Oryzias latipes: one gene and its partner. The protein of the gene in region 2 interacts with the protein of the main gene of each other region in a biochemical or structural test. Links are inferred from orthologs where the notes say so. Each region holds a gene or a part of one and is shown on either strand. Other genes may lie near its edges.

Evidence for each region.
Region 1: the proteins of rlim (region 2) and lhx3 form a complex in vitro, tested with the Homo sapiens proteins (2 studies listed by BioGRID). The link is inferred for Oryzias latipes from reciprocal best matches to the Homo sapiens genes RLIM and LHX3.

What each region holds. Positions count from the first base shown.
Region 1 is NC_019870.2:10,782,702-10,788,659, forward strand, and holds the end of lhx3 (LIM/homeobox protein Lhx3), read right to left. Parts: intron 4,714-5,958; coding exon 4,559-4,713; intron 3,436-4,558; coding exon of another isoform or gene 3,427-3,435; coding exon 3,264-3,426; intron 1,884-3,263; coding exon 1,450-1,883; downstream 1-1,449. UniProt on the Homo sapiens protein: Transcription factor.
Region 2 is NC_019868.2:17,951,876-17,958,413, reverse strand, and holds the start of rlim (E3 ubiquitin-protein ligase RLIM), read right to left. Parts: upstream 4,081-6,538; 5' UTR 3,925-4,080; intron 3,074-3,924; 5' UTR 2,953-3,073; coding exon 2,784-2,952; intron 1,255-2,783; coding exon 1,150-1,254; intron 1,067-1,149; coding exon 1-1,066. UniProt on the Homo sapiens protein: E3 ubiquitin-protein ligase.

The sequences.
Region 1 (5,958 bases), on a different chromosome or scaffold from region 2:
ATCAACCAATTTTTATGAAAGCTAACAAGATTTTGAAAACAATTCCAACACAACTTCCTCACAAGACAAAATATTGAGTTCATTTTTAATTGTACTTTCATCTATTACGATATTTGTTTGATGGAACTCATTAATAGCAACACACGGACATGTGGTCACCTTCTCCCTCTCACACAAACACAGAGGCGCACACACACATTTACCATTTAATCTATTTAATTGAACCTGACTTGGAATAACTAAACAAATGAGGAAATTCACAAGGGGCACCCGATCCCTTCTTGGATAATGGATTGCAGATTCCTTTCCCATAGGGGTATTTGGGCAAACAGGACCCAGTAATCTCTGAATTGATGAGTGGACTGCATCAAATTTCTCCACTAAAGAGCTGTTGAACCCCCGATACAGTGCTGGGAGTTGGCCAAATGCTCAATTTGCAGATACAGTGAAGACTGCAGGCTCGTTCTGGTTTCATTGCCAGAGATAAAGGTTGCTGCATGCCGCCGACATTAAGGATGTCAAAATCATGCCCACGATCTGTGATTTGAGTGAATAGTATAACTTTTGAAAAAATGCTCTTTAAAAAAAAAATCCTGTTAAAAATCCCTCTGATTTCATCTTTATTTTTTTCATTTTAGTTATTCTCTCATTCACCTTGTCTCCTCCATACAATTTTTGTTCTGCACCAACAACAAAAATGACAAACCTTCCTGTTGAATTAGGTGACAAATTTATTAAAATCCTGCAATTCACTTATGAATTACCAACATTACCAGAGAGAATAAATAATACATAAAACATTTTTTCCACATAAACAAACATATACATCAGAGCGCCCCCCCCTCAGCAGTTACAGTTCATCCTTGGGGTTGTTTCTGGTGGAACGAAACGAACAAGAAACATCTGCAACAGACAAATGCATAGAAGTAATTGGACACCTAGGCACCATTTAAGACAACATCTAGACTTCTGCCTAATTCCGTGTTTAAGAATGAACAAAATTCTAGGTTTTCAGTCACATTCAAGGAGGAAAGGGGGGTGGGGGTATATAAAAATAAAGTCTATGTGATGATAAACCATTAATATATATTTATATATTGACATTTGGCAACAACCGGACATGTAAAGACCCAATGTTGACTCAAGTTCTTCACTTGAACAGTTAACTAAGAGCAATAAAAAAAAAATAACGCAAAGAACTCAGTTTGTTCTAAAAGAGCTTATAGTGGTTCTAAAATTTAGATTTTATTTATTTTTGCTTATGTTGCATACAATAAAACAACAATGATTAATTCAAGTGCTTTGAATGAGGGGCATTTTCTTTATTTCCTCCATTTAGATCACAAAAAAAAAAATGACTGGGTGTTTCAGTTTGCGACTGTTAAGGTCTAATGACATCATTTTTCCGCCTCCAGCATATAAGCTAAATGAAAAGAGTCATGTTTCTGATCAAAACTGGCCATGATCAACTTCATCTAACCAGGACGCAGGACTGGCAGGAAAATCTGGATAACCCCCACTGCTGCCGGTGGAGAGGTCGGAACTGGGGCCGTTGGCTGCTCCCATGGAAACCCGGACGGTGGGGTTGATACCAGGCCCAGCGCCCTGGGTCATGATGGAAAGGCCAGAGTCCGGGTAGACTAGGCTGGAAATGATGGGCTGGTGTCGGGGTAGTGCCTGCAGGGAGCTCGGAGACTGAGGGAGCCCATAGGGGCTGTTGGAGCGAATGTCATGGAACTGGTCTTGAGAGGGGAGCCCGGCGTGCTCCAATGGAAAGGAGTTGTGGTTGTTACCCCCTTGGCGGCCCCCAATCGTTGGAGACGATTCGCTCAGACTGCTGTAAATGCCATTGGCATTGCCAAGCTCTGAAACAGGAGGTTCATCTGGGCGACAAAAACAAGTTAAAGACATGAGTTAGACTTGGTAGAATAAAATTAGTGAAAAGAGTTTCCCATTCTTTGTCTTTAATATTATTTTTACATTTCAAATAAAAAACACTATTATACATTAGTGACACAAATTATTTGTTTCTAAGCATTTTAGGCTGTTGTTGATTTCTTGCAATCATCATCTGTTTTTCTTTGCATTCAGAACAATTATAGTTATTTTAAAATATGGAAAAATTGTAGTAAAATGCATTCCCAATTACACTGTGTAAACTAATTGTCCAAAGCTGGATATTTATTCATTCATCCAATATTTTTTAGCACAATGTGTTGATCATGATGAAAATAGCATACGTGGTTGCATTTCTTCATGTATAGTTTTCTTTTGTAACCCTTGAAGATTGTTTACACAGTTGCAAAGAAATTCAAAAAGTTTCCTTAAAGGGTTGGTTAAACAAACAAAAAAAAAGGAGACCATTTTCTATAGGTTGTGCCAAAACATAAATAAGTGTGCTAGCTCTTTTCATCATTCAAGTTTGTATAGGGGCTTAAAATATAAATACATTTGCATTTATGAATTTACTTTTTTTTTTTTTTTTTTTTTACAAAAAAACAACTAAAATGGCAAATTTTTGAGTTTTACAGAAGCATCAATTTTAGATGTGTTCCCTTGTAAGTACAGCTTTTCCAAGAACGTTTTTAGAACAGAAGATGGAAACTCTGTCTAACAAATGTTGACAATCTAGTGTTTATCTACGATTTCCTTAAAAAAAGGCTCAAAGCGAGAAAACTTGTCAAAAGAAAGCACCAGAAAAAAGTATAAAAAGAAATTTGTTGAGTTCTAGGCTGCGTCCAAATTCCCTCACCACCCCTTAACCCCTAAAAGACTTTAGTCTTTAGTGTGGGGCCACGAGTGCCCTGGATTTTAATCCAGTTTGAGCACATGCTCACCACTTTTTTTTTTATTAAATAGAAAATATGACGTCACCCATTTGGCGAAGTAAAACCCTGAAACATATGAACATAGTACGAAGGCTATTTCTGAATCCATTGTGTTCTGATGATGACAGTTTAGATAATTTATAAAAAAAAAAATCAAACATAATTCTTTTTAAATAACAAATCATTCAAACGCAATGCATTGCGGTCTATATTCACCAATAGTGAGCATCAATGCCCACCTGTCTTTCACAGAGACCTCCGGGAAATATCAAGGGCACTCGATTTTGGAATTGTAGATTCGGACATCCAGACAAAATGGAAAATCTACATAGTGCACTAAAGGAATTTTGGACACAACCAAGAGTTTAAAGTGTGCCGGTTATGTGTCACGTTCAGGTATTTATTTTTTTGCTTAATTTTATTCTGTGACCCTACCTGTGAAGGACACCTCCGCGTCACTGTCCATGCCCTCCTCCTGGATGCTGTCTTTGTCGGACTTGGAGCTTCCTCGCGACCTCTTCATGTTGCGGAAGTACTGTCCCCATCGCTGCCTCCCTGCATCCTTTTTCAGCCTTTTCTCTTTAGCTCGCCTGTTCTGGAACCAAACCTAGAAAAAAATAAAAAATAAAAAGGAAACAAAATGTCGGTCATTGATCAGACAAACAACACTATAAAAATCTCAATCTTTAGAAAGTAGAAAGGCCCTTGTTTTGAGAAAAGAATGTCTTGCAAGAAGATATAAGAAAACATATCTTAGTGACTTGATTTTTTTCTTAAAATAAGAATTCTTGGTAAGTCATTTTTTTCTTACCCCATTGGACATATTTTTGCTGAATTAAAGAAAAATTTGACTTATATCTATGGGGTTGTTTTTGCAGTGCATCTACCAATATTACATGTGTTTATGGAAAAATAATACTTCAAAGATTTATTGATCATAATGTGCTCTGAAACACTCAGAGGAAATTAAAATCCATATTTTAAATATTAGTAATTAATTGCTTGATTTCCTGTTTAGTCCTGAGGACAAATATACCAAGCATAGTTTTTTTTTATGGTCCTGATACATGTGTCAGGATGTAGAGCATTAGGACAAAATAAATGTTCAGAGACTGTCTAGACACCACTGCTTGCCTTTCAGAGTCCAGAGGGAGACATGGGGCAGTAATCCTTGAACCAGCTTCTCTTATATTACATTTATCACGCGTTTCATTAACTTCCACTGCAAGTAACTCTCCCCTAAAGGAGCAGATCCATTTTCACATTTTTCACTTGGATTTGTCCAAATTTTCCACTCTAACTTTTGACACAAAAACCATAGTTTACTTGTTTCAATTGTGTTAATTGAAACTTTTTGATTTTACATGCAAAGTCAGTCATTTGCACTCACATAAACAAGAATTTACGTCCCCCTTTAAGATGTTCCACCTTGAGAAAGCCCTTTCCCTAACATAATGAGGAGCTTTTGAGTGGTCTCAGACCCTTACTTTTGTCCTTGCAAATAAAACAATATATATGACCCAACACCTAGCAGCCACTCTGAGGCTCCTAAGCAGCAGACAATATGTGGGGGACCCCTCTTAGCATTGTTAACGACCGTGCACTTAAACCAAGCTGACTTTCATGCAGACTTCATTCTACCTCATCTGACCGTAAATTCAATAACCAGCATGCGCACTTGTTCCCACAGCTCTGTTCTGAAGTCAGGTTTAATGAAAACAGGATAATAATACCTGAACCACCCGCATATCCAGGCCTGTTTCTGACGACAGTTGCTCTCGGACGTGGCGGGCCGGCTTGGGGGAATTATTGTAAGCGTTTTTCAATGTCTCCAGTTGTTTAGCAGTGATGGTTGTTCGCGGCCTTTTTGCAGTCGAGTCTGCCTCTGAAGGAAAGACAAGAGTGTCAGACTTCAGAAAAATAAAAACATCAACATGAAATATTTTGGATAGAATTTGTATATTAAAAAAATGAAATGACAAAAAATATATCATACCACGCTGTCACTGCAACCATAAATCCAGAATATAAACAAGTAAAGGAAAATTATTAACTGTATTTTTACCATAAGGTCAAACTTTCCAAAAGGTAATAAACATTTCTATAATTTTGCAGAGCTCCAAATGAAAATAGGTTATTTTCTTTGTGTATGAATGAGTATTCCTCAATTCATGCAGACCAAAAACTCCTAAAAATAACTGAAGTTGTTTTTTTTAACATATATTAAAATGTATTATTCTAACTCAGGAAAATAAAAACCTCAAAAACCAAAAAAAGAAAAAAGAAAAATTGGGTAAATGGAGCTATACTAAAACAAAAAAAACTTTATTGCAAAAAAATAAAATAAAGTAACACAAAAATATATCCCAACATAAATAAATTGGGTTAAAGAATTAAGCCAAGTGTTTTAAGAGTCAGTCAAAATGTGTTTTCTTATTATATCCACTTCTTGTGCAAGAAAAAAAAACTATAATAAGGCCTTTAATTCTTTGTTTACAGACCTTGCATCAAATATAGTAATACACACACTGCATAGAAGTATTTAATTTAACATAAATTAATACATCTCCCTGTCTTTGCCTATACTGGCATCATCTGCACCCTTTTTGCATATCAGCTCGCCAACACGACAAAACACAAAACCATCACCTAAATGGATGCTGCCCAAGTAATTGCACCCTGACATAAGTTAAATAAACGTGTTTGTTTTTTTGCACAAAAAAATGCACTACCTCATTGCATAAATCTGCACAGTAAATTTCCAGCAAACAGATGGGGAGATAAAACTTGACTGTGCACAACTCTGCCGCATTTAAATGAGCCTGCTGGGATATTTATTCAATAAAAAGGCACACTGTTGCAAGGGCAGCATTGTGGTTTTTCCCCCCTTTTTGATCTGACAAAAATGCATCGTAGCAGGTTTAAATCAAACTATGCAAATTTATGAATTTCTTATACCAGATAAGCTAAACTGTGCTTATATGCTTTGTCCATTTTTTAAAACATTTAAAAACTTTAATGATTTTCACATAAAATGCATGGACAAATTATAATTTTGTAAATGCTTAGTAAAAAAAAAAAACTATTCCTCAATTTCAGACAAGGAATTTATTTCTGAAAATATTTTTTT
Region 2 (6,538 bases):
TCTCCTAAACCTGCGTCAGAGATTCTTCGGATGGGGATTCGAATGGTGCTAACGTAGGTCCTCACGCCAGCGCGCTCGGAGCGCGAGAAAGTCCTGCGAAATCCACCGCGCTCGCTCTCGTAAAGAAACGTGTTGTTCGAGTTCTGTGAGCGTGAGCGAGTGCGGCTGGCGATGCTGTCCCTCTGACGATATTCACCGGGGCGCACGCGCCGCACCTGTAGATCAAGCATTATGGTGGGAGGGCGGCGCCCCGCTGCACCGCCTTCACCAGCTTCCCCACCTTCACCCCCAGCAGTTTCTCCTTCCTGAGACCCAGCATTTGGGGACTCTGGGACGGGTTCAGCAGGAGCTCTGGGTGGCCAAACGTCCCCTTCAGCAAAGTTCTGACGTGAAAGAATATGCTGTCGAGTCCGAGAGCTGCCCTCCACTGGAGGCACAGTGGGAGTATTTGAGGAAGAACTCGAGCTTTGAGAACTGTAATCATGTCTCGGAATTGGAATGCCATCAAGCTGATCCAAGCTGAGAGGGGACCGGCTCCTAGCAAGGCGGGCACGAGTTCTGCGTGGTTCTGGGCTGCGGCTGCGAGCTCTTCTCTGTCCTCTACGTGGAGAAGAACAAGGAGGGGGTTGAACAGGAGGAGGCGGTGGAGGCGGCGGCGTTGGTGGACTGGAAGGCTCCTCTACAACCTGATGTGAAACTACTTCATCTACTTCAGGCTCTGGCTCCACAAGGACGGCCAATTCCTCAACAACTGGTTCTTCCACCACTTCTGCTTCCATGGGAACCTGTGCTTCAGGTTCGACAGACACATCTTGACCTTCAGCAGGCTGTTCTGGAGGCTCTTGCTCCGCTTCAGCAGCCGCCTGCTGCTCAGCCAGATTGCGGTTCACACTAATTTCCAGGCTGAAGCGAAAATCGCCACTGTTTGGATTGGTCTGGCTCACAGCCCTCCATGACTGGTTCCCGCGATGACCGGTTCTGGTTGTGTTGCCTGTGCGTCGCACTGTGTTCAGCCAATCAAGAAGGCTATCCCCACCTGGAGGATCCTCAGAGCTCTCTGGTTGTTCTGGGAAACAAAACAAAACAAAAAATTTCAATCTGACAGAAAGTTTTAAAGCAACAAAAAAAGAGAAAAAAAACAATACCTACCAACTGGTTCTTCAGTACTCTCAGTAGCAGGGTTGTTACTCTGCTGTTCCGGACCACCTTTGATCTGCTGAAGACGACTAATCAGCTCATCCTCTGTGACCTCTCCTGCAATATAAATGAGAGAAAATTAAGACCAAGACATTTCTATTTTCTTGAAAATCCTTGGATTAGTTTTTTTTTTACCAAAGACCATCTGGGAAAACAAAAATAATAGCTTCATTCTTCTACAATAAAAAGGTTTAATGAGCTTAAAGAAATGAAGTCCTATTTGATTGCTTGAAATAAACCATTTCAAATCAAAAAAAAAAAAAAGTCACCTGGGACATGTTCAAGCTACAGAATTGATTTTGTATTTTATGAAATATTCCTACCAAAAAGGAACTCATGTCAAGTGTCGTACTCTCCTCACTGTTGTGTTGTCTTTGAACACATCAACAGAAGAGCAGGAAAAGCCTCCAGACTTACCAGGGCAAGTCAATCTCCATCTATTGCCTTCCCCTCTAAGTTGAAGGATACCCCATTAAAGGTCCAAACTTACTTTCCCCCTCTCACTCTGAGGACAGACAGAGACTGGACATCTCCAACTGCTCGCTGACTGTTGCATTTCGAGCATACTCAGGAATGCAAACACATTAAAAAGAGGAATGCCATTAAATGCCCTTAAAACAAAACAAGTATGTAACATTCAACTAAGATCTGTGTTTATAAATGCCAAATTCATCTTGTGAGTCTTGACTATACAAAATGATACCTACATTACATTTGTAAACACTCACTCTAAGAAAAATTGTGTTTTTGGTGTTTCTTTTCATGTTTTTGTAGCATTTTTTTCACGAGGGTGGATACAGTACAAATAATTTAAAATTAATACTTCCTCTCCATTTTTTTTATTCAAATCAGTGAGAATAAGGAGCAGACAAAAAAATGCAATTTGAAAAAGCTTGTGGTTGTTAGGTAAACTCTATAATCGTATGGCCACATGCTCTGTTTTATTGTTATACAGATCCATGTACGGCTTCATTCTCCTCATTTGAGCTGGCATCTGACTCAAAACTGTATGGCAGGCTAACTCCATCATTTTTTATCCACAATAACGTTAATTTGGGGTTGTAAGCTAGCGGGAAAGCACATAAACAAAGGGATGATGGAAAATTAAGGCAGCCTCACTCCATGCCAACAGTCTAATGAAATCGTCTTAAAAAAAAAACGACTGGTTTTTATGTTTGTTTTTTTGCCTAAGAACCATATAATCATAATTGAAAGACCACTAGGAACGCTTTTATAATAGAGCAAAAGAAGTCCGGATGGGGACTTTAAAAGCTTACATAGTTGTTCTACAGATGTCATAACTAATAAAGAGGCAGGGGATACAAAGTAATACTGAATTATTATAACATTTGTAAGTCTTTATCAATTGAATGTAGTAATATTAAATAATAAGTGAGGTTGTAACATCCAAGTGACTGATATGATAATTTATTGTGGTTTTACTAATGACAACATTGCCAAGAGGATTAAGTTTATAAAGACACAAAAGATCAAGAGATGCAAGTGCTACACACCGTTAAAAATGTACACGACGAAAAGCAAATGTAAAATTTATTATGATAATTATAATTTTCATTCATCTGTACCTGGATTGCCTAAAAGATTGTTGTCTCTCATTAGCCGATAGTCTTCCTCACTGAGGTTGTTGACAAACTGGTAGAAGGCCTCCTCTCTGTCCAGGCGATCCAGCTGCCTCCTGCGCTGTGACTCAGGCTGGTCACTGCCACCCTGTTCGACACCGTCAGACCCTTCCATGATGCGCAGGGGTGATCAGCGGGATGGTTTCGAACTAACAGCAAGATTCTGCTGCCGCAGAACAGAGTAGGTTTCCGTTAGTGACTTCCCTCTGCCGAAAGCCTCGTGGTGTTTTTTTCCCCTTAAAAACCACGCAGACAAGTCTAAATACCACTTGTGCTACCGTTAAACGAGAAAAGAACAAATCTAAGAAACATCATTGTAAATGTTGACGTTGCAGCTACTCTAAAGCCAATACGGCACATTTACCATAATGACAGGCAATATTTACACAACAAAAGCAGTCTGAATCTGATTTTCTCCTCACTCAAATAGTTCAGTTTCGATCCCATTTACACGCACAGCTGCCAGTCAACAAAAAACAAAAGCCTAATACCGCAAACCCCGTGTCTTTACGTCAACAAAAAGACAGTACGTTGGTCAAAGTCGAGATAAAAACAAAATGGCATCGTACATTTTAGCCAGCCTAGCAACCAATTAGCATTGGGTTGGGTTGCTAACCACATTACTACAATTAAAAGGGGCCAACATATGTTGTGAAGGATCACCATAGAGTTAAATCGTTAAATTTAAATAGGTCCATACATTTTTTATGTTTTTAAAATAGAATAAACCCCAACTATAAGATGACAAACAAGCTAACCTTGTTAGCTAGTCGGCTACTTAACTTCTAGGCTACTGGCTACTTAGCGTGCTTCCAAGTGTTTCTTTAACATATCCAAAGTTTTTTTTCTTAACCAAGTTCATTTTTACTTTTTGTCTAGAAGCTAAAAATAAATATTAGACATTAATGACGTTTTTTGCGGTGTATTTACTATATCGACCAGTAGTTACATGTACATTTAGCTAATAGCATCACCAGAAGCTAACACAGCAAGCGACGTCAACCGGTGACGTTAGCAATCAGAACGAGCTCAAACATTCAGTATGAATACAATTAATAGAATGTAATGTGTGACAAAATAATATTACCTGTAGGATGTTGATAGTAGACGTGTGATGAAAGGAAACCGTCCTTAGATTAATATTCTCTTAAAATTGATTGGGTTAACCGAAAGCGATCTCAGGATTCCATTTTCTTTCTTGTAGGAAAGCTGAAACGATCTTCCGGAAATGGACCATGACGCCAGTGTCCTGAGTTTGATCTTCCGGGTTCAATAAAGCTTTGCGTATTGGCAACGTAGTAATATAGGACAGCGTTTTATCATTTTTGCCAATACGATAAATTAACTGCTGTAAGTAAAATGTAAAATATATATATGTGTATATATATATATATATAATATGTAGGCTACATACTTAGGTACATATTTGGAATAAATAATTATATGCAGTGTTGCACAAGGAGATGCCTGGAAGTCAAAAAACGGGGATTTAAATTACAATGTAGTCACTCAATAGACAATGAATGGATGTTTCTAGCATGGGTGTTTGTTTTTTTTGTTGTTGTTGTTTTGTTGTTGTTTTTTTGTTCCTTAAGCATCTGAATGCAAGTGTACAAACAAGAAATGCATTTCATGAACCAAAACATTCGTTCAGGAAGTAAAAGAATGCCTAATAGGAGCACACAAAATCCCCATTAGTCATATCACTCATGCTTTCCCTTATGGATATACAAAAGTCTCCCCTTTAACCCTTTCCCCTTGCAACTGCTTAAGAACGAAGATAGAAATAACATTTCTGAAAGCTTTGCATGTTCACAATCACAAACCACAAATACTGATGTAATAAATACTATGTATTAATTTAAAAAAATGGGGAAACCAACCTCTCATTTAGGCCTACTGCATTTAATGGAGCAACTGATTAAATTTGCATAACAATTATTACATGTTTTATTTCTGCTGTGCTAGTTTTGTGCTGCAAGCATACTGTCATCTTTTTGTTTATTTATTTATTTATTTATTTATTTATTTTTTGTCAATAGATGGGCTTTCAACAGTTTCCACGTCACATGAAACTTTAACAGCTTGCAATAAAATGCAAAAACAGTTGCTTGTAATTAACAGAAAAATTCAGTTCAAACTTGTTAAAGGGTTTCTGTGCCTTGCAATGCATGAAGAATGCAGTGCTTTTCATTTTTTATTTTTCGAGAGCAACAAAGTGGCAAAAACGAGACTAGTGCTGACAAAAAAACAAAAAAAACAAACAACATTAGTACTTCTCTTTGAAGACATACTTAACAGGATCGAATGGGGATAATTAGGCCCCACATTTAACAAACTCTAACTTAAAGTCATTGAATATTATGCCATAAAACTATTTAGATAACTTGATCCTCAGCCAGAATTTTCTTTTTAAACACTGGGCCTACTCTAAAGCTATATCAAATTGAAGATCGATTGTCAAGAAAAAAATTTAGGGCGTCTAAATGTCTTTGCTTGTTGGAAAAGATCATTTAAAAATCCCTTTTGCAGTCCACGTCCAGGAAGCAAGGGGTCACTGAGGGTCCTCAAACACCTGCCCCTTTTTCCCAGGTGCCCGTTTTGTCAAAGGTGTTTTTTGTCCATTTACATATGTGAAAGCCTTTCCGACACGTTAATTTACCACCCATCAATTAATAATAACTCATAAAAACGAAAAAGATCAATTTAGAACTTTTGATGAACATGCCCCTCCCTCACATACACCAGGCAGCCCCAGCCCACCCCTTCACGCGCTGAAGCAGAGCTGGAGTGCAGCGCGCTATACAAGTAGGCAGGAAATTGAAATGTCCCGCAGATCTTTCACTTAGTTTCTATTTTGTTGGGCTGGTTGACCCCATGACCTCGGGCGCGCGACTGCGGTGTCGGCTGACGGCCGCGGAGCGAGTACGGTGGCTGAAGTGAGCGCGCGCTCCACGACTGATTGTCTTGTCTATGTTTTAGGTGAGCAGGTGGAGGATGGTTTCCAGGTATCTGCTCCTGCATAGTTTATGTGCATCGGATTTTTAGTGAATTCCTCTGGGTTTATATTAATGTGCTGACAGGCCTCGTGAGGAGTAGAGGTTGACAGAGAGGAAAAAGGAGCTGAATGAGGCTAAAGGCAGAGGATCCAGAACCAACAGCAAAGAGACCACCAGCATGAACCACTTGTTTATTTTTCTATTCAATCTTTTTTTTTTAATAACCATTCAATTTTCATTAGTGTTTTTCAGGGTTAATATAATTTTGTATTGGTTTTAAGGTTTTTTTTGTTTGTTTGTTTAAACTTTCAGGCTTTTTCTAGTCTGGATTTACTTGTTTCAGTTTTTAATGTTTTTTAAGTTTTCATTTTTACCATTTTAAGTTTTATTTCTTTTTCAGTAAAATAAAATGTTTTACTACTATCAGGTTACTAGTTTTAGTTTTTAGTTTAGTTTTAGTTAAGTCTAACAACCTTGGTGTCGACAAGTATGGCTAATAAAATAACAGATGAATGTAAAAGCAAAAGTGTGCTTTGTTCTCAGATTGAGGAGAGTGAAAGGTCAGGCGAGGTAGGAGAGAAGGAGGATGATGATGTTCCACTGAAACAGGGAGATTGATGGAAACTGCACGTGTCAAACTCCAGGCCTCAAGAGCCGGAGTCCTGCATTTTTTCTAACTAACCTGCCATTGAAGCTCCTCAA